Linked DNA regions of Anolis sagrei. The protein of the gene in region 2 interacts with the protein of the main gene of each other region in a pairwise test. Links are inferred from orthologs where the notes say so. Each region holds a gene or a part of one and is shown on either strand. Other genes may lie near its edges. The genes, in order: TSSK4 and CREB1.

The links.
Region 1: the proteins of CREB1 (region 2) and TSSK4 interact in binary tests that used the Homo sapiens proteins (3 or more experiments, as listed by UniProt). The link is inferred for Anolis sagrei from reciprocal best matches to the Homo sapiens genes CREB1 and TSSK4.

The regions. Positions count from the first base shown.
Region 1 is NC_090026.1:7,933,026-7,944,914, reverse strand, and holds TSSK4 (testis-specific serine/threonine-protein kinase 4), read left to right. Parts: upstream 1-6,493; 5' UTR 6,494-6,496; coding exon 6,497-6,708; intron 6,709-7,607; coding exon 7,608-7,971; intron 7,972-10,124; coding exon of another isoform or gene 10,125-10,217; coding exon 10,218-10,499; 3' UTR 10,500-10,542; downstream 10,543-11,889. Other genes in the region: TM9SF1 (transmembrane 9 superfamily member 1), read right to left, coding at 7,723-7,947, 10,125-10,495. UniProt on the Homo sapiens protein: Serine/threonine kinase which is involved in male germ cell development and in mature sperm function. May be involved in the Cre/Creb signaling pathway. Phosphorylates CREB1 on 'Ser-133' in vitro and can stimulate Cre/Creb pathway in cells.
Region 2 is NC_090021.1:168,928,206-168,939,315, reverse strand, and holds the start of CREB1 (cyclic AMP-responsive element-binding protein 1), read right to left. Parts: upstream 5,016-11,110; 5' UTR 4,747-5,015; intron 1-4,746.

The DNA.
Region 1 (11,889 bases), on a different chromosome or scaffold from region 2:
TCTCTAAAATTGGGAGGAAAATAGTATCTTTGTCTCCTCCATGATGAAATTGACTGGCAAGGCACCCATTCAACTTGTGTGTATTTTGCAGGCCCAATATAAACCGCAGGCAAAAAGAGCACTAAAATAGTAGCTGAACATCTGTAGGTGGAGGTAAACATTACTATTTACTAGAAAGGGTGGCTTCATATGTGCAAATATAAAATCTGTTTATATTAGAAACCACACTTTCCTAACACACACACATTTATTGACCTCAAGAAGAGGCAGATAAAAATATATATTATTATTATAATTACTAATATAACTATTATTATTATTATTATTATTATTATTATTGGAAGCACTCTGCACATGAGCAGAGGCACAGTTTCTCATTAGCACTGCCTTCTTGATTCATATGCCCACCTCGAGCACCATTAATATATACAATATATTAATATATAGAAATAATAACATTGTACTAAAATAATATGAATATAGCATATATAATATTAACAATGTTGTAATATATTATTATTATATTACCCTCCACTCTGCTGTGTTCTCTGTGGCTATTCTTAATCAATAACCACATTTTTGGCCTCTAGTTTGCAAAATTAATGCAATTTGACACCACTTTAACTTCCATTGGATTCAAACTACAGCAAAATAAGTTCCACCTAATCTTTAGTAAACCCTTCCTGACAGTAAGACCTATCTGATAGTGGAATACACTGTCACTTGGGAGTCCAGCAGAGCCTACATTTTGTGAGGCTTTTAAACAGAGACTGGTCATCTATTGGGAGTGGTTTAATTGTATATTCCTGCATGGCAGAATGGAGTTGGACTGGATGACCTTTAGGGATCCCTTCTAACTCTAGTGGAATATAGACTACCAAGGAGTATGGTGGAATATACATCTCCAGAGGCTTTTCAGCAGGGACTGAATAGCCATCTGTCGAGAGTGCTTGGATTGTGTATCCCGCATGACAGAAAGGGGTTGGACTGGATGGACTTTAGGGATCCCTCCTAAGTCTCGTGGAATATAGACTTCCGGGGAGTGCAGTGGAATATACATCTCTAACACTTTTTAGCAGGGACTGAATAGCCATCGGTCGAGAGTGCTTGGATTGTGTATTCCTGCATGACAGAATGGGACTGGACTGGATGACCTTTCGAGATCCCTTTTGACTTTAGTTGAATATTGACTGCCTGGGAATTTGTTGGATTTTCCTTCTCTAGAGACTGTTAAACAGAGACTGAATGGCCATCTATCAGGAGTGCTTCGATTGTGTATTGCTGCAGGACAGAATGGGTTTGGACTGGATGGCCTTTAGGGATCCCTTCTAATGCTAATGGAATATAGACTACCAGGGAGTGCAGAGAATTATACTTCTCCCGAGGCTTTTCAGCAGTGACTGGATAGCCATCTGTCAGGAGTGCTTGGATTGTGCATTCCTGCATGATAGAATGGGGTTGGACTGGATGGCCTTTCGAGCTCCTTTTCAACTTCAGTTGAATATTGACTGCCTGTGAGTTTGTTGGAGTTTCCTTCTCTAGAGGCTGTTAAACAGAGACTGAATGGCTATCTGTCGAGACTGCTTTGATCGTGTATTCCTGCATGGTAAAAGGGGGTTGGACTGGATGGCCCTTGGGGTCTCTTCCAACCCTTTAACCATACACTTCACCTTTCCTCCAAAAGAGGCTTATAATTTTGTCAAAGGGCATCACAGGAACAGAAGACCCTTGTTTGTTTGAGATCGTGTCATCGTGTCAGGGGCAACCAGACCATTGTATTACATTTCTAACAGAACAAAACAAACAAACAGATAAAAAAAACCCACAAAGTTTGCAAGCTTGGTAGTAGATTAAATGTCCTTTGACCAGTAGCTGGCCACTTGGAGTGCCTCTGATGTTGTTGCAAGAAGGTCCTCCATGGTGCATGTGGCAGGGCTCAGGTTGCATTGCAGCAGATGGTCAGTGGTTTGCTCCTCTCCGCACTCGCATGTTGTGGATTCCACTTTGTAGCCCCATTTCTTAAGGTTGGCTCTGCATCTCGTGGTGCCAGAGCGCAGTCTGTTCAGCGCCTTCCAAGTCGCCCAGTCTTCTGTGTGCCCAGGGGGGAGTCTCTCATTTGGTATCAGCCATTGGTTGAGGTTCTGGGTTTGAGCCTGCCGCTTTTGGACTCTCGCTTGCTGAGGTGTTCCAGCGAGTGTCTCTGTAGATCTTAGAAAACTATTTCTTGATTTAAGTCATTGACATGCTGGCTGATACCCAAACAAGGGTGAGCTGGAGATGTCACTGCCTTGGTCCTTTCACTATTGAAATTACACTGTTTAGCTGGTATTGCACCACCTGACATCCACCAGGAAGTAGCCGCCAATAGTTTGTTTGAGATGAGAAAATAGTATTACTTAAATCCAATGAGTAGGATTTGGAACCAAGAGAGTTTGGAGCAAGCAGAACCCATGTTGCATCAGGCAACATCCTTTGTTGGAAGACAATCCCTCAGTGCCATCCATGGAAGCCTCCCTATGGTAACTGGAACCCCATCGGCCTATTGACATGGCTGGAATGCCAAGGGCATCTTCAGAACCCAGGCAGAAAAGAAGGTCGGACCCCTTCCTAGTGGTTGGGGTCCGGTTGAGCAGATCCCATTTCTTCCTTTGGAGCTGTTAATTGGCAGGATGATGGTTTAGATTCCACCAAGTTGGGTGAGACAGGTGGATCTCCAACTAGATCCCTCCCATCACCCAAAAGACTTATCGGAGAGATCTCCTTGGACTCGGATACACAGTTGGAAAAACCTGATTACCTTCTCCTCCCCTGGTTGTCCTTCTCAGAACATCCCACCAAGGGTCCTTTCCCTATCACAAAAGTATTCTTGAGGATTTGGGGCTGAGCACCAAAACGGAACCATGGTGGAACATTCGGCCTCCACGCCGTACGTCTCGGTGATGGATCAATACGGCTACCAAATTGGCAAAGTGATTGGGCACGGCTCTTACGGCACCGTCTATGAGGCCTATTTCGCGAAGCAGAAGACCATGGTGGCCATCAAGATCATCTCCAAGAAAAAGGCCTCTGAGGATTACCTCTCCAAATTCCTCCCAAGGGAAATACAGGTGGTTTACCTTTACGTGTTGGGTGAGGTTGGATGAAGCATGGGCAAACTTTGGCCCTTTGGGTGTTTTGGACTTCAACTCCCACAATTCCTAACAGCAAGTAGACTGATATACAATAACCCTGTAAGGTAGACTCAAAGAGTAGGTTTTAGAAACTCTCCAAATGACATTGGCACTTGGTTCAACAAGTTTGAATGTAATCATATTTAATAATATGGGGACATTGCTTTTGATTATATTTTCATATTAAGTCCTGCTTTGTGGCTGGGCCTTGTTAATATTCTGGTTTAGTTTGTTACCGTGATAACTATCTAGCCAGGAAGATGAAATTAAATAATTGATTTAAATATTTATATTCCACCTTTTGTCCTGCGCATTTTACATTCATATCCTACTTTTCTACTTACGAAGAGTACAATGGGTAGTTAATACAATTCATTTACCATTTCTATATTGCCAGTACTTAAATCCACTCTGGGATTTAGTCTGAAGTTTACAGAATAAGGTCCTGGATAATAAATTGCCAAAATGGATTAAGTACCTTGGATAGCTTATTAAAACACAGATTCACACACCTGCCACTGACATGTCATTATTTTGGACTGCAAGACCCAGAATACAATACGCAATTGTTTTGGACTACAATACCCAGAATCTCCATCCAGGATTGGATGGGGATTCTGGAGCTTTTGTCATGATGAAATATGAGGTATGGTTTGAATGGAATTGTATGAAAGATGAATGAATGAGAGCTAATAATTTTGAAGACACCATTCCTGGAAAACCACTGCCTGCTTGCTGAACTGTAATCAAAAGTTGCTGAACTGCTGACATTGATAAAAACTGTAATTGTTTTGGGGAAAACAATGTGTTTACATTATCAGAGACAATTATTAAAGAAATGTTTACAAGGAAGTCTACACAAGACTGCTTATGTTTATTAACACCAATTACGAAGAGTCAACATCTGTCCAGGAACTGATGATATCAACATATTTCAGACTGGAAGAACATCTATCAATGATTTACAATTTATTTATTTATTTATTTATTTACTGCACTTGTAGACCGCCGTTCTCAGCCCTAGGGCGACTCACGGCGGTGTACAACATATAAAAAACAATTTACACTAAAGGCAATAAAGGCAATAGCACAAACAACAGTAACAACATCACTATCAATAATACAATTACACTAAATCATTTGCGACGTCTCATCATAGAATCACAATCCAATCTCGTTTTCCATATTCCGTTCCAATCATCATTGCCAATTGTTGTAGCACTTAGTCAAACGCCTTCTCAAACAACCACGTTTTTAGTCTCTTGCGGAATGTCATAAGGGAGGGCGCCTGTCTGATGTCTACAGGGAGGGTGTTCCACAGCCGGGGGGCCACCACCGAGAAGGCCCTATCCCTCGTCCCCACCAGGCGTGCCTGTGAGGCAGGCGGGATCGAGAGAAGGGCCTCCCCAGACGATCTCAAAGTCCTCGTGGGCTCATAGGCCGAGATGCGGTCAGACAGGTAATTTTGGAACGACATACCCTATTTCCCTGAAAATAAGACATCCCCTAAAAATAAGACCTAGTAGAGGTTTTGCCGAATTGCTAAAAATAAGGCCTCCCCACAAAGTAAGACCGAGTTAAGTTTTTGTTTGGAACCATGCCTGCCAAATAGAACATCAAAGCATGCATTGAATAAATCTTGCTTTGTGTCCATAAATATCGGGATCAGTAAATGTACCATAGATTGCTGTACATGGAAATAATGGCAGCAACAAGAAATTCTTGATTGATGAAACCTAGGATCATGTTGGCTTTTTTGGCTTGATAGGATTCATAGTTTGTCTGATTATGCTGATTTGTGATGACAACTACTGTACAGTATGTAATAAATGTTAATGTTTTGTTCAACAATACATATTGTTGAATACGCCTGGCAGGAACGAGAGACAGGGCCTTCTCAGTGGTGGCCCCTCGGCTGTGGAACACCCTTCCTACAGATATTAGATCGGCCCCCTCCCTATTGGCATTTCGGAGGAAAGTGAAGACCTGGTTGTTCGAGCAGACATTTGATTAGGCAGTGTAATGAATATAGGAACACGGAATAACGGATGATGAGATTGGATCTTGATTCTACTGATGAGACGCGAATGAGTTGTTATATTGATGCTTAATTGTTTATTATGCTACTGTTTTAACTGTCCCTTCACTGTTTTTATGATGTTTTGCATTGAATTTTTGCTGTTGTTAACCGCTTTGAGTCGTCTAAGGGCTGAGAAAAGCGGTATATAAATGAAGTAAGCAAATAAATAAATAAATATGAATTCTTCTTCATGGAAAAATAAGACATCTCCTGAAAATAAGACCTAGCACATCTTTGGGAGCAAAAATTAATATAAGACACTATCTTATTTTGGGGGAAACAGGGTACAACATCAGCAAGGAAATATTGCTATGTAAGAGACCTTATTACAATCCAAAAATTGTGACAGACAGCAGTGCTGTTCACCTGCCATGCTGTATGGAAAGAGATGGTGTATGCCTCCTTGTCTCAAGAGAAGAGAAAGGAGTGTGATTTTGGAGTTTTGGATTTTGTGCAGGGAGTCCGGTTCTGCTTCATGGAAAACGGGGATCTGATCCTTGCCATTGTGCTTAGGGGAAGGATGCATTTTGGCGTTTAGGAGTTTTGGAAATATGCATTGACAGATTTTCAGGAAAGCAAAGTATAGTCCAATAAATGTTCTTCTCCAAGGAGTTAGAAAGGATATGGTAATATTTGAATGCAGGGGAATGAATTAATGTGCAAGTGAAGGCTGAGTGAAAATGTAATTCCCCTCTGTTTGTTTGATAGCCAATGTAACTATAGGTTGTTTATGAATCCAATGTAGTTACATAGAATCTGTAAGTTTGTATAGCTATATAAATTCTGATACCCTTTCTCTTACTGGAATGTATTGATATTATGGCATTGAATTGTTGCCCGTGTTAGCAGCCCTGAGCGCGCGTCCCCCCCCCCCCCCCCCACTGATAGGGCAGTGCAGATTCAAATAATTCAGATTATATTGTGGATTATCTGCCTTGATATTCTGGGTTACAGGGCTGTATGGACAGGCCCTTTGAGGCAAGGAAAGTCTAAAACAAGGACTATATACAGCCCATGGGGACCACTATAGTGGCTGTTAAAGAGGGGTAGAAATGATGTAAATAAACAAATAAACAAATAAATAAATAAAATTTCAATAAAAAGAACCTATGTTTTAAAGGTATTGAAAAGTTATTCATAACACTTGTAGTCCGAAAAGCAAACATGAAATGGAAATTGGGACTGCGAAAGACAGAAAGGGACATAGCATAGGTTTAACCCTGAATCCGTTTCTCCTTTCCAGGTGATGAAGAGTCTGCGCCACAAATACGTGATCAGTTTCTACCAAGCCATCGAGACCACCTCCCGCCATTATATCATCATGGAGCTGGCACCCTGCGGGGATGTCTTGGAGTGGATCCAGAAGTCGGGCGCTTGCTCCGAGGCCCTGGCGGGGAAGTGGTTCTCCCAGCTGGCCCTGGGCATTGCCTATCTTCATGGCAAGGGCATCGTGCACCGGTCAGCAAAGGGGCAACTTGGGCTCTGGTTGGGTGGCAAAGTCATGAGTCCTGGCTGGAATGCTAGTGTTGGAAAATACCATAATGGCTGTCCTGTCCAACCTCTTGCCATTCAAGAAGATACAATGCAAGCCCTCCTGACAGTTTATTTAACATTTAGTTAAATAAGCAGAAGTGAGATGTTTGAATGTGTTGAGATTAATTTCACAATTCAGCAGCAGATCAGTTGCACAACTTCAGCGCTTTCCAGTAGCTTCTTCCTGCACAGTATTTTCAGTCAACTGCTCCCACAGCCTGCAGTCACTCTGGAACCTTTTACAGACACTTGAGCACATGCCCGGCCATTGTCAGTTTTACCGTTGTCTTTCCCCCAGTCTAGATGATATTACAAACTTACCACAGCATACAGTTATATCTTGTCTTAGCAGACAGGTTCTTTTAATCAATTACATATAGCCTTCGACGACAACATCACAGCACAAGGAGAGGAATACACACTGTACATGACTTCCTTATATACAATTCTATACAATTTCACATAGCAATCTCTGATTGGTTCCCAACTCATTAACTTAACTCAGACCCAGGATTACATCATTCACAATCACCTGGACTAGGCCAGAACACATTCCCCAAATGATTCCCTATATACAGTTAATGCATGACTCAGCATTTCCAATAGCCCATTAGCAGTGCATGACTCAGCTATATTACATTACAATACATTGTAAAACCTGACAGGATGGTGTCTTGCTGCCTGGAAGAAAAGGGTCAGTTTGGATGGCCCTTGAGATGTCTTCCAACCCTATATTACACTATGATTCTTTGAGATCTCCAGCCAGATCAGTCCTGTTTCCAAGTTCTGTCGTTGCAGTGAATCTCACTCTTTGATTCTCGCAGGGACCTCAAGCTGGAGAACCTCCTCCTGGATAAGCGGGAGAACATAAAGATCTCAGACTTTGGCTTCTCCAAGATTGTGACCCCGCAGACGCAGCCGCCCCCGACTCCTTCCTACCGCATGATGAGCTGCTTCTCCCACCTCAGCCAGACCTACTGCGGCAGCTTCGCCTACGCCTGCCCGGAGATCCTCCTGGGGCTGCCCTACAACCCCTTCCTCTCCGACATCTGGAGCATGGGGGTCATCCTCTACACCTTGGTGGTGGCCCACCTGCCCTTCGATGACACCAACCTCAAGAAGTTGCTCCGCGAGACCCAGAAGGAGGTCAACTTCCCAAGCCACCTCCAGATCAACGAGGAGATCAAGGTGAGGATGGCCCACCTGTAGACCTTACAACAGGCATGGGCAAACTTTGCCCCTCTAGGTGTTTCGGACTTCAACTCCCACAAATTGTGGGAGTTGGTCCAAAACACCTGGAGGTCCCAAGTTTGCTCAGGCCTGCTCTGAGTATATTGTCTGAAGAGTTTGGGGAACTTTGGATCCAAACATGCAGCTTTTTCTACCTGATATCCTGACTGAGGGATTTAACATCTACATGAAACCGCTGGGAGATATTCCTAATTGCCATACAATATTTAATGCATTTTTAGAAATACTAGTTAGACTCACAGTAATAAAAAAATCATCTTCAGGCTATGTGTATATATGAAACATGAATTAATTTCACGTTTAGACCTGAATCCTATCTTCAAGATTTCTTTTTTCTCTGTGTATTTATCTATGCAAATCCAGGTATTGCAAAATATTTCTGGTTTCATGCATTTCAGATAACAGATACTCAACCTGGATTAAGACTGTAACAACATCTAAAACAAGTCTGATCTTGGAGTGTTGAGAATGGGAGTGTCAAGTTTAGTAATGTTTAAGGCAGGCATGGGTACATTTTCTAACTTGGGGACCACATGATAACATTCCCTACTAGAATGACTGGCTTCCTGGTGATGGAAGGAAGGAAGGGGAGGAGGGAGGAAAGAGAGAAGGAAGGAAGGAGGAAAGGGAGGAAGGGAATGATGGAAGGAAAGAGAGAAGGAAGAAAGGAGGAAAGGGAAGAAGAAAGGAAGGAAGGAAAGACAAAAAGGAAGGAAGCAAGGATGAAAGGGTGGAAGGGAAGGATGGATGGATGGAAGGAAGGGAAGGATGGAAGGAAAGAGAGAAGGAAGGAAAGAGGAAAGGGAGAGGGAAGAAGGGAGGAAAGAGGGAAGAAAGGAAAGGCAAAAGAGAAAGAAGGATGAAAGGGAGGAAGATAAGAATGGAAGGAAAGGAATGAGGAGGAAAAGAGAGAAGGAAGGAAGGACAAAAGGGAGGAAGGGAAGGGTGGAAGGAGAAAGAGGGAGAGAAGGAAGGAGGGAGAAAAGAGGGAAAGAAGGAAAGACAAAAGTGAAGGTAGGAAGGATGAAAAGGTGGAAGGGAAGGATGGAAGGAAGGAAAGGAAGGAGGAAGGAAAGAACGCAGGGAGGGAGGAAGATAGATAAGGATGGTAGGAAGGGAAGGATAAAGGAAAGAGAGAAGGAAAGGCAAAATGGAAGGAAGAAAGGAGAAAGAGGGAGAGAGGAAGGAAGGAAGGAAGGAAGGCAGGAAGGAAGGCAGGAAGGAAGGAAGGAAGGAAGGAAGGAAGGAAGGAAGGAAGGAAGGGGAAGGGAGGGAGGGAGGGAGGAAAGGAGAACAAAGGGGTGGAAGGGAAGGATGGAAGGAGAAAGAGGGAGGGAAGGGAGGCAAGGAGGAAGGAAAAAGAGAAGAAAGGAAAGACAAAAGATAGGGAAGGAGAGAAGGACGAAAGGGTGGAAGGGAAGAAGTAAGGGAAGAAGGACGAAGGAGTAGAAGGGAATGGAGGGAGAAAGAGGGAAGGGGGGAAGCGAGATGTAAAGACAAAAGGGAAGGAAGGAGAAAGGGAGAGAGAGAAGAAAGGAAGAATGAAAGAGTGGAAGGGAAGGAAGGAGGGAGGTAGGAAGAGGAAGGGGAGAGAAGGAAGGAAGGAAGGAAGGAAGGAAGGAAGGAAGGAAGGAAGGAAGGAAGGAAGGAAGGAAGGAAGGAGAGGAAGGAAGGAAAAATAGGATTGTGTGAGAGAGGGAGGCCTGAGAAAAGACCCCAATGGCCCGCTTCCGGCCCCTGGACCTGGGTTTTCCCATATATGGTTCAAGGCCTCATAAATTATCTTTTTTTAGGATTCATCTGCAATGCAGAATGAATGTAGTTTTAAACCACGTTCCCTGCCAATGCGATTGAATGCTTGGAGTTGTAGTGTGGCAAAGGACCAGCACACTTCAACAAAGAAGACCTTGCAAAAGTACAGCTCCCAGGGATTCCATCGCATTGAGTCATGGTGAACCTTCTCTGGATACCTTCCAGCTTGTCCATCTACTTCTCGAATTGCTTTGCCCAGGACTGGTCAGATTATTATTCCAGGGGAAGGTTTGACCAAAACAGAACGGAATAGGGTTATGACCTTTCTTTTGACCAACACTCCTAGTGATGCATCCTGGAATTGTGTTGGCTTTCCTGAGGTGCTGCATCCTTTTGATGGTGTCTGTCTTGTCTTTCCGGCAATCTCGTAGGAGCTGGTCCATCGCATCCTCCGCCCGGCTTCGAAGCGCCTCAACATCTTGGAAGTCCTCAAGGTGCAGTGGGTCATCAAATTCCTTGCTGAGAAGCCCACCACGGAGCTCAAGGCCCTGGAAGCCATCTGCGGACCCCGGGCCACTGACTCCTTGAAGAACGCCAACCTCAGCACCAAATCCCGCTCCCTGACTTTCGCGCCGGACAAAAAAAAGGCCGCCAGCCGTACGCGCAGCACTGGGCAGATCAAGGGCTCCAAAAACACAGAGAAAAGCAGCTAAGGAGGGGTGCATTAAAAACAAAAGACTCTTTAAGGCAAAGTTGTTGGCGGTCCATGTTTTTCTGGGCTTAGTGCTTACCTTCAACGGCCAGGGAGTGTGCAAACCAGAAACAAATACAGCCAAACACTGGGGAAACTTGATAAATGTAACATAGAGCAGGGGCCCTTTATCAGGAATGAGCAGGAACAAGGTTTGGGATATCACCTTTTCATGGGATCATAGTTGGAAAATACTCCCAAGTCCAACCCCATATTGCCATGCAGGATCACACAATTGAAGCACTCCCGACAGGTGGCCTTCCAGCCTCTGCTTCAAAACATCTAGAGAAGACTTGATTTTTGTGGATGGATGTCATCGACATTGTACAATCGGTAAGCTGGCTGCACCCTTTGTCAGAGATACTAAAGACCTTGTAAAACGACAGCTCCCATGATTCTATAGCATTGACACCACTTTAAGTGCTGTGACTGAATGATATGGACAGTTTTACATGTTCAGACTAAAACCCAGAATGGATTCACCACTCTGATATACAAAAATGTGACTGTCTGCTAAACTAGTTTATTTATACTAGAACAGTGGTTCTCAACCTGGAATCCCCAGATGTTAGTGGCCTACAACTCCCAGAAATCCCAGCCAGTTTACCAGCTGTTAGGATTTCTGGGAGTTGAAGGCCAAAAACATCTGGGGACCCCAGGCTGAGAACCACTGTACTAGAATCTGACCTCACTATAACTTCCACGGCACAATGCTATGGATCCTTGGGAGTTGTAGTTTGGCAATGCATTACAGCAGTGGTTCCCAGGAGCCCCCCCATGGCCCGATGGGTTAAACCCTTGTGCCGGCAGAGCTGAAGATCGACAGGTCAGAGGTTCAAATCCAGGAAGAGCGTGGATGAGCTCCCTCTGTCAGCTCCTGCTCCCCATGCAGGGACATGAGAGAAGCCTCCCACAAGGATGGTAAAACATCAAAACATCTGGACACCCCCTGGGCGACGTCCTTGCAGATGGACAATTCTCTCACACCAGAAGCAACTTGCAGTTTCTCAAGTCGCTCCTCACACATACACACACACACAAAAGTGGTTCCCAACCTTTTTTTGACCAGGGACCTCTCTCCAACATGAGTACCAAAAGGGTTATGAATCAGTTTTTGCTCAACTTTCGATTCGGATTGGGGTGCTGATTCAGAAAATTGCATTGGATAGACCACATCAGCTCTAGTTTCTGATACAGAACAAATGCCATGGTCAATGACAGGGAAAAAGTGGCAGGTGGTGTGAAAGGAGCGGAAAGAAAATAAATAAAATCTAATAAATAAATAATGAGGAAGGAGGATAGCAATCAGATTTTCGTCCTCACGGCCCACAGGTAAAGAACCACTGAATTAC
Region 2 (11,110 bases):
AGTGTAGCATAACTACAGTTATGAAGTAGAAATGAAAATAATTTTGATTGGGGGTCACCACAACATGAGAAACTGTATTAAGAGGTCGCTGTATTAGGAAGGTTGAGAAACACTGTCCTAAGTCTATAAAGTAATTTCGACAGTGCTTCTTAAGCTATCTGATGTGGAGAACCAACAGGTTCTTTTCTCCCAATGTACTGGTATATTTGTGCCCATTGGGTTTTGTTTTGGCTTTTAAAATATATATTGGATGTCTTCCAGAGTCTTGCAGCAGTTGGCTTTGGAATCGCCATTTCATGGACCATCACGCTGAATGGCATGGCTTTAAAGCACAGGACACAGCTTTTCCCTCCTGAAAACTACCTTTCACAAATCTAAGCCAATGGTATGAATTACTGGAGAAGTTTCCTTTGGAAGGAAAATCATATAATTATTATAAATGTGAAATAAGCAAAAATAAAAATGTATTTTAAAAAATATGTCAGTGACAATAACATTGACGCTTGAAGGTTTTTTTGTTAATTTTTTAAATCACACTTTATATATTTTCTAACAGAGGATTATACCTAGGCTGTGTTTTTTTAGCACTTGATTGGCATTTGCAGAATTCCAATAATAGCTTATTTGTGAAAGGTGGTCCATATTGCCAAATCCCCAATTGACTGCAGCTTTCTTCATTATATTTATTAAGTTCTAAAAATTTCTCAATACTTAGGGACAGATTTTCAAAGGGGGCTGTAGATTATGTTTTTAAAAAGTCTACAAATATAGTGTCCAATTTATACATTATAACACTTTCTATAAAAGCATGAGCACTATTACATTCAGGCCACAGAATCCAGCATGTGTAGTAGGGAGGGCTCTAGTCCATGAAGCCCTCGTTCCTGAAAAGTATGCAATATTTGAAGAGCCACAAAGTTATGTTAGAATTTAGTAACAAACCCTGTCTAGAACAGTATGAAATTATTGCATTTATAAATACAGGTATAAATCCAATTGCCACCCCCAACTAGACCAACCAAATCAATGGCATTTATGTTCCACTACCTAGTTCACGATACTTTTCCTAGTTGGGTGGATTTAGGCCACAGTCTGGTGAAACAAGGATATGTGAGAACACTAAAATTTCTCTGTGAAATGGAAGCAATACAGGAACAACAACAATAAATATCATAAAAACCCTATCTGTGACCCTTCAAATATGACTGCCTATACATTAAAGCAGGGCCCCCAAAACTAAGGCCCGAGGGCTGTATACGGCCTTCCAAGGTCATTTACCCGGCCCTCGCTCAGGGTTAACCTAAGTCTGAAATGACTTGAAAGCACACAACCACAACAATTCTATCTCATCAGCCAAAAGCAGGCCCACACTTCCCATTTAAATACTAATAAGTTTATATCTGTTAAAATTGTTCTTCATTTTAATTATTGTAATGTTTTAAAGTGTTATTTGCACTACAAATAGGATATGTGCAGTGTGCATAGGAATTCGTTCATGTTTTTTTCAAATTATAATCCGGCCCTCCAACAGTTTGAGGGACTGTAACCTGGCCCTCTGTTTACAAAGTTTGAGGACCCCTGCATTAAAGCATATTAGGGAAAACAATCAAGATCAATGTTTGGCTGAAAACTAGGACTTCAGGAGATGCAAACTTTAAAGGAGTCTTAGATTGAGAGTACTAACTATATGGTGAAATTCACTTTTCGATGATGGCCAAATAGGTTGTCTAAAACAGTAAGTAAATGAACTGTGTTGTAAGCATGGTAAAACCTCCCTTATGTTGTTATGAAGTGTGTATTAATCAGCACCAAGTAACTTACTTGAAACTTAATATACTGGGATACTGTTGCTAAAATTAGCCCTTTACTTTGTATCCTATTTTGCAACATAAAAATTATTAAAACATCCAATGTAGCTAAAAATCCAGGTTTTTGTTTTACAATGACTGAAATCCCAACCCTAGCTAAAAAACAGAGTGAGGTTAAGACAGTAGTTCTCAACCTGTAGGTCCCCAGGTGTTTTGGCCTACAACTCCCAGAAATCCCAGCCACTTTACCAGCTGTAAGGATTTCTGGGAGTTGAAGGCCAAAACATCTGGGAACCCACAGGTTGAGAACCACTGGGTTAAGAGGAAGTGGAAAACTCCTTGAGTGGTAGAGTAGCTCCTCCAGCCCAAAGAGGCCTGCGAGCATAAAACGTCCTTGGTAGATTCTAAAACAGGCATGGGCAGACTTTGGCCCTCCAAGAGTCTTGGACTTCAACTCCCACAATACCTGGCTGTTAGGAATTGTGCAAGTTGAAGTCCAAAACACATGGAGGACCAAAGTATGGCCATGCCTGTTCTAAAACATGACTTTTGGGTGAGGGAAAAGACATTCTCTCACAGGCTTGGACCTACACAAGATTTGAACAGATACTTCATCACACTAAAGCAGGGATCCTCAACTAAGGCCCGGGGGCCAGATGAGGCCCTCGCTTAGGGTCAACTTAAGTCTGAAACGACTTGAAAGAACAAAACAATAACAACAATCCTAGCTCATCAGCCAAAAATAGGCCCACACTTCCCATTGAAATACTAATAAGTTTACATTTGCTAAATTGTTCTTCATTTTAATTATTGTATTGTTTTTTAAGTGGATTTTGCACTACAAATAAGATATGTGCAGTGTGCATAGGAATTCATTCATGTTTTTTTTTTCAAATTATAATCCGGCCCTCCAACTGTTTGAGGGACTGTGACCTGGCCCTTTGTTTAAAAAGTTTGAGGACCCCTGCACTAGAGAATAAATCCATTTAAAATCCAGTTTCTGCCTCCTGCAGACCTCTGGGGTTTAGTGAGGCTGTTAAATACTAAATTTCATCCTAATAACTTCAGAAATAGGGAAATGTACATGAAAATATTTCCTATAAAATGGAAATAACATATTTTATTTGCCTTGGTTAGAGAGGGAAGAAACAGGGCATGGGAAGTAGGAAAGTTAATTCAAAACGACTCCACTCATAACTGAAGCTAAACTTATATATGTGTTAACTTTTCTTGCCTGCACTCTTCCTAGCCCCCCTAATTTAGTACATTGTTTTAAGTTATCTCCCTTACAGGCCCGTAGCCAGGATTTCGATTTTGGGGGGGGGGGGGGGGGGGGCTGAGTCTGAGTGAAAGAGGGTCTACCCTAGCAAAGCTTTTGTATCGTTACCCCAATACCCCCATGCATATGGGATATATTGAGTATGGTGATCAGATCATGATATGAATAAACATAACAGTTTAAATAATGAACCAGTAAGGCCTTCTCGCGAACCACCATGAGAATTTGGGGGGGGGGGGGGGGCTGAAGCCCCTAAAGTCCCCCCCCCCCCACTACATGTCTGCTCCCTTATATTACTTTACTGAGTGCCATGTAAACTGAACTGAGGTGAATAGATTCTACAAATAAAACAAAAGTGTCAGTAATACTAGCAGTGCCTCATTTAATACAACTTTTCGCCTAAGCACAACCCCTCAAAGTACAGATCAAAGGGGGGAGGGATAAAAACCAGAGCAGTGAGGATTAAGTTTGAAACAAATACAACCATTTCCAGCACCAGAGCTTTCATCATAACCACACAGAACTGTGAGGAAAACAAGATGTTCAAGAATAGTGTAGATCCAAAATTATTTTTATTTCAAAAGGAACTTTCGGAGGTTTTTCAAATTGGAGCCATGTTTTTTTAAAACTGTTTTGCTGGTACAGTGGACGGGGACTCCTGCCAAATGGATGCTTTGACTATGAAAAGAGGAACCTCTGGACCCGTGGGACAGAATCGAGGGTCTGCTCCAAGCACAGCAGAAGCGAGTATTGGGAGTTTTGTTTCTCATGTCAGGAGCAACTTGAGAAACTGCAAGTCGCTTCTGGTGTGAGAGAATGTGCTGTCTGCAAGGCCGCCTGGACGTTTTGCCACCCTTGTGAGAGGCTTCTCTGATGACCCCACATAGTGATGATCACCCCCTTTCCCTTTCCTCCTAGGACTCCGTGTGTAAGGCTGCCAGGGAAGTCCCTGCTCAGCATTGGGCGGGAAAAGAGAAGAGAGGGCTGGGGTGGGGCATCTAACTTCTGGCTTGGAGAAGAGTGAGGCATGTGTGTGTGTTGGATCCACTAGATCCATATTACTGCCCTAAAGAAGGGGGGGGCACCTTATGGAGAAAAAGGATCGGCGGATTCCCCCCCCCCCCCTTCTTAAGAGGTTGCTTATACCTCTGAAGCGTGTGTTTATGACCAATTTATGTTACAAACTGCGTGATGAGAGAGGGACAGAGGGAAGACCCTCGCGGGAAGGCCCTCTCCCTCTCCCAAGGGCGCCGTGGCCTAGTTTCTTCCCCCCGCTTGGCCGCCGCCATCCTCCTCCTCGGTCCGCCCGCCCGCCAGGCTTGGCTCGCCTCGTCTCTGCCTGGCCCGGCCGCTTCCATCCGCCATTACTCTTTGTTCCTCCTCCAGCAGCAGCGCCGGGCCAGGGCAGGAGGAAGGAGAGGCTCCATTTTAAAAATTAAAACCGCCACAGAACTGAGGGGAAGGGAGGGGAAGAGCGCGTTAGGCCGAAGCTTGGCTCTCTCTCTCTTTGCCTCCTTCCTTCCCTCAACGGCCGCCGCCCCTCCCTGTTTTCCTCCTCCTTCCTCTCTCTCTCTCTGGTCGGCCTTTGTCTCCTCGGCCTGCCTTTCTTTCTTTCCTTCCTTCCTGCGTGCTCGCTGGGCTTTCTCCTTCTCCTCTTACCGGCCAGAGGCTGCTCCGTCACTGCTTTCGTTCGCGCCGAGGCTCTCGCCGCAGTTTTATTCTCTCCCCCACGTAACACACCGCGTCAAACTACACCTCCGCCGCGTCACTCACAGGACACACACACCACGCGCCCGCTCGCTCGCTCGCTCGCTCCGGCTCTCCCAGCGCCGGCGACAGCAAGGCCAGGCAGCCAAGGCAAGGCAAGGCAGGCAGGCAGGCAAGCAGAGCGGCCGACGGAGGGGAAGGCAAGGGAGGGGGGGAGAAGAGGAGGAGGAGGCCAGGGAGGGAGGGAGGGAGGGAGGGAGCAAGCGCCGCCGCCGCCGAGCATGCCTTCGCTCTCCTCCCCCTCCCTTCCCTTCTGCCTCGCGCGCTCCCCCCTCCCTACTCTACTGCCTAGCGCACTCTCCCCCCTCCCTCTTGCCTCGCGCTCCTTCCCCCCCTTCTCTTCTGCCTCGCGCGCTCCCCCTCCCTCGCGCTCTTCTCTCCCCCCTCCCTACTCTTCTGCCTCGCGTGCTCTCCCCCCTCCCTCTTGCCTCGCGCTCCATTTCCCCCCTCCCTTCTCTTCTGTCTCGCGAACCTTCCCCCTCCCTTCTGCCTCGCGCTCGCTGTCTCCCCTCCCTTGTCTTCTACCCTGCGCTCTCTCTCCCCATTACTCCATTCCTGTCCCGCCATTCCCCCCCCCCCCTTCTCTTCTGCCTCGCGCGCGCTTTCCCCCCTTCTCTTCTGCCTCGCGCTCTCTCCCAGGCCTGGATCCAGAGGAGGGGGAGGGGGTTTAAGGCAGGGGTCCTCAAACTTTTTAAACAGAGGGCCAGGTTAGGTAAAGGTAAAGGTAAAGGTAGTCCCCTGACAATAAGTCCAGTCATGTCTGACTCTGGGATGTGGTGCTCATCTCCATTTCTAAGCTGAAGAGCCAGCGTTGTCCGTAGACACCTCCAAGGTCATGTGGCCGGCATGACCGCATGGACCGCCGTTACCTTCCCGCCGGAGCGGTACCTATTGATCTACTCACATTTGCATGTTTTCGAACTGCTAGGTTGGCAGAAGCTAGGGCTGACAGCGGAATTGAACCTGTGACCTTTCAATCAACAAGCTCAGCAGCTCAGTGCTTTAACCCACTGGGCCAGGTTACATTCCCTCAAACTGTTGGAGGGCCAGATTATAATTTGAAAAAAAAAATGAACCAATTCCTATAGACACTGCATATATCTTATTTGTAGTGCAAAAAACCTCCAGCAAAGGATCACCGCCTTGTCGGGGCGCTGGAGCTTGAGCACCTCAATGATGTCATGAGCGAAACCGTGAAGGGACACCCAAGACGGGACGGTTGTGGCAGAGAGGTCAGACCAAGCGTGATCCCTGGGGAAGGCAATGGCAAACCACTCCAGTATCCTTGCCAAGAAAACTAAATGGACCAGTACAACCAGAGATATGTCGGTATGCCATTGGAAGATGGGACTCCCAGGTCGGAAGATGGCCAAAATGCTACTGGGGAGGAGCAGAGGATAAGTTCAACTAGCCCCAGATGTGATGACGCAGCTAGCTCAAAGCCGAAAGGAAGGCTAGCGGCCGACGGTACTGGAGGTGAACGACGAATCCGATGCTCTAAAGATCAACACACCATAGGAACCTGGAATGTAAGATCTATGAGCCAGGGCAAATTGGATGTTGTTATAGTTTTGACGGTGTGGTGAATGAATTAGAACCAGACATCCTGAGGAGTGAGGTTGAATGGGCCTTAAGAAGCATTGCTAACAACAAGGCAGCAGGAGACGACGGGATCCCAGCTGAACTGTTTAAAATCTTAAAAGATGATGCTGTCAAGGTGATGCATGCCATTTGCCAGCAAATATGGAAAACACAAGAATGGCCATCAGACTGGAAAAAATCAACTTATATCCCCATACCAAAAAAGGGAAATGCGAAAGACTGCTCAAACTTCCGTACAGTGGCCCTTATTTCTCATGCCAGTAAGGTAATGCTCAAGATTCTGCAAGGAAGACTCCAGCAATACATGGAGCGAGAGTTGCCAGATGTTCAAGCTGGGTTTAGAAAAGGCAGAGGAACGAGAGACCAGATTGCCAATATCCGCTGGATAATGGAGAAAGGCAGGGAGTTTCAGAAAAACATCTACTTCTGCTTCATTGACTATTCTAAAGCCTTTGACTGTGTGGATCATAATAAACTGTGGCAAGTTCTTAGTGGGATGGGCATCCCAAGCCACCTTGTCTCTCTCCTGAGGAATCTGTACAAGGACCAAGTAGCAACAGTAAGAACTGACCACGGAACAACAGACTGGTTCAAGATTGGGAAAGGCGTACGGCAAGGCTGCATCCTCTCACCCAACCTTTTTAACTTGTATGCAGAACACATCATGCGATGTGCGGGGCTGGATGAATGCAAAGCTGGGGTGAAAATTGCTAGAAGAAACATTAACAACCTCAGATATGCAGATGACACCACTCTGATGGCCGAAAGCGAGGAGGAGCTGAGGAGCCTCCTAATCAAGGTGAAAGAAGAAAGCGCAAAAGCCGGGTTGCAGCTAAACGTCAAAAAAACCAAGATTATGGCAACAAGAATGATTGACAACTGGAAAATAGAGGGAGAAACCGTGGAGGCCGTGACAGACTTTGTATTTCTAGGTGCAAAGATTACTGCAGATGCAGACTGTGGCCAGGAAATCAGAAGACGCTTACTTCTTGGGAGGAGAGCAATGTCCAGTCTCGATAAAATAGTAAAGAGTAGAGACATCAGACTGGCAACAAAGATCCGCCTAGTCAAAGCCATGGTATTCCCTGTAGTAACCTATGGATGTGAGAGCTGGACCTTAGGGAAGGCTGAGCGAAGGAAGATCGATGCTTTTGAGCTGTGGTGCTGGAGGAAAGTGCTGAGAGTGCCTTGGACTGCGAGAAGATCCAACCAGTCCATCCTCCAGGAAATAAAGCCCGACTGCTCACTGGAGGGAAAGATACTAGAGACAAAGTTGAAGTACTTTGGCCACATCATGAGGAGACAGGAAAGCCTAGAGAAGACAATTATGCTGGGGAAAGTGGAAGGCAAAAGGAAGAGGGGCCGACCAAGGGCAAGATGGATGGATGGCATCCTTGGAGTGACCGGACTGACCTTGAGGGAGCTGGGGGTGGTAACGGCCGACAGGGAGCTCTGGCGTGGGCTGGTCCATGAGGTCACGAAGAGTCGGAGACGACTGAACGAATAACAACAACAAGTGCAAAAAACATTTAAAACAATACAATAATTAAAATGAACTATTTTAACAAATATAAACTTAATGATTGACAACTGGAAAATAGAGGGAGAAAACGTGGAGGCCGTGACAGACTTTGTATTTCTAGGTGCAAAGATTACTGCAGATGCAGACTGTGGCCAGGAAATCAGAAGACGCTTACTTCTTGGGAGGAGAGCAATGTCCAGTCTCGATAAAATAGTAAAGAGTAGAGACATCACACTGGCAACAAAGATCCGCCTAGTCAAAGCCATGGTATTCCCTGTAGTAACCTACGGATGTGAGAGCTGGACGTTAGGGAAGGCTGAGCGAAGGCTGAGCCAAAGTACTTCATCTTGGCCTCTAGTCTCCTTCCCTCCAGTGAGCAGTCGGGCTTTATTTCCTGGAGGATGGACTGGTTGGATCTTCTCGCAGTCCAAGGCACTCTCAGCACTTTCCTCCAACACCACAGCTCAAAAGCATCGATCTTCCTTCGCTCAGCCTTCCCTAAGGTCCAGCTCTCACATCCATAGGTTACTATATACATAGATAGATAGGATTCACACACAGAGAGAGAAATATAGTATCATAGATTTGAAAGGAATCCTTAAAGAAGGACAAAGATATGTTGCATGTTCCAGGGTGGGCAAACCAGACACTCTCCACATCAACACTGGCAAAGAAACAGCAAGAAATACTGTTTACCCACAAGCCTAAAGAAATGACATATATTAGAAACCAACACTTTCTCATTCCTTTTATTTTCCAGATCACTCTCGCACTTAAGACCTGGCTTTTTACTAGAGCATTCGATCTCTGTTGATTTTTAATGTTTGTATGTATGTATTTATCTTTTGTAATTTAGCTGTAAATCGTCTGGAGCATTCTCGGATGGAGCGTGATTAATAAATTATTAAATGATGATGATGATGACCATCAGACTGGGCTACAGCAACTCATGGCAGGGGACAGCTAGTAATAATAATAATAATAATACTTTATTTATACCCTGCCACCATCTCCCCAAGGGACTCAGAGCGGGTTACATGAGGCCAAGCCCAACAGTACATCAATAAACAAAAACAACAAATACAATACAATTAATATAAATCACACATAAACAATAACTAATAAACAGGATTTACAAGGATTTAAAAACGTATGGCCGGGCCAAATGTAACTGTTTTAAAATTAAAGGGTTCAAGCCCCCCCCAATCCCGAAATGTTTCAGGTTTTTTTTTTTAAGCTGGTTTACTTTCGAATTAGTTAACCACCTAAAAATCAGGAGGAAACCAGATTTTTTAAAAATCTGAAACATTTTGGGGTTGGGGGGGGAAATTGAACCCTTAACCCCCCCCCCCCCCCCCGCGCGCGCTGTAGGACTGCTCCCTCCCCTCTTGTCTCGCGCACTCTCTCCCCCTCCCTTCTCTTCTGTCTCGCGCGCTCTCGCCACCCCCCCTCCTCTTGGCTCGTGCCCCATCCCTCCCTCCTTTCAAAGAGCGGGAAAGCCCGAACGGCCTCCGCGGAAATGCCCGAAGGCTGACAGCGCAAGGAACGAAGGAAGGAAAGAAAGAGACAAAATGGCGGCCGGCGCGCGAAGGTGTTTGGAGCGGCCTCCGAGGAATGGAGGAATCCACCATCACCGTTGGGGGCTGGCGGCCTAGATTGCACGATGAGGAGTTTTAGGATCATCCCATACATATCCCCGAGATCAAGTTATCAATGTGGCACCCTTCTCTCCCTCCCTACACGGGGTAAAAGGAAACGGAGACAAGAATGGAGGGAGAAGAAAAGGGGGCTCGGAAATAGCTTTGAGGAAGGCCCCATCCGCAGTGCCATCTAAAATCCAGGTTATCTGTCTGGTAGATAATGATAATCCAGTTCATAACGTGGATTATCTGCTTTGATAATTTATTTTATTTATTTATTTCACATACTAGCTGTACCCGGCCACGCGTTGCTGTGGCCCTCAGAAAACAGGATTTGCAGACATGAAACAATCTGGGCTAGGGATAGGGGTCCTCAAACTAAGGCCCGGGGACCAAATACGGTCTTCCAAGGTCATTTACCTGGCCCTCACTCAGAGTCAACCTAAGGTTGAAATGAATTGAAAGCACACAACAATCCTATCTCATCAGCCAAAAGCAGGTCCCCTCTTCCCATTTAAATACTAATAATTTTATATTTGTTAAAATTGTTCTCAGTTTTAATTATTGTACTGTTTTAAAGTATTTTTGCACAACAATAAGATATATGCAGTGTGCATAGGAATTCATGTGTTTTTCAAATTATAATCCGGCTCTCCAACACTTTGAGGGACTGTGACCTGGCCCCCTGTTTAAAAAGTTTGAGGACCCCTGGCTAGGGAACTCTTTGCAGCAAAGGTTTCCTGCTGACTAGTAGAAGCCAGGCTTTTAAGGTGCAAGGTTATTCAAAGGTAATCCAGGTATGCAGGTGCAGCATTCACACTAGGCTCAAGTAGAAATAATTTCTTTTTCCCACCCTAAACCTTTCACGTATCGATAAATGAAAGCCTCTCACAGAATGGTAAAACATCAGCGCGACGCATGGGGAACATCCTTGGAGGTGGTGTATTGCAGGGGTTCTCAAACTAAGGCCCAGGGGCCGGATACGGCCCTCTAAGGTCATTTACCCAACCCTCGCACAGGTCAACCTAAGTCTGAAACAACTTATTTATTTATTTATTTACTTTACTTTACTTGTATACCGCAGTTTCTCAGGCCAATAGGCGACTCAACGCGGTTTACAACAAGGATAAAAAACAATCAACGATATACAATTTAAAACTATAAAAGCATAATATACAATATTGACACAACAATAGACAACACAATGCATCTCATAACAAGTCGTGATCCAATCCGTCGTCCAAATTTCCATTCCTGTAATCATCACATTCATTGCACTGTTTAACCGAATGCCCGTTCAAACATCCAAGTTTTTAAACTTAAACTAAACGTAAAAGTGCACAACAACAATCCTATCTCATCAGCCAAAAACAGGCCCACACTTCTCACTGAAATACTAATACGTTTATATTTGTTAAAACTGTTCTTCATTTTAATTATTGCATTGTTTTTAAGTGTTTTTGCACTACAAATAAGATATGTGCAGTATGCA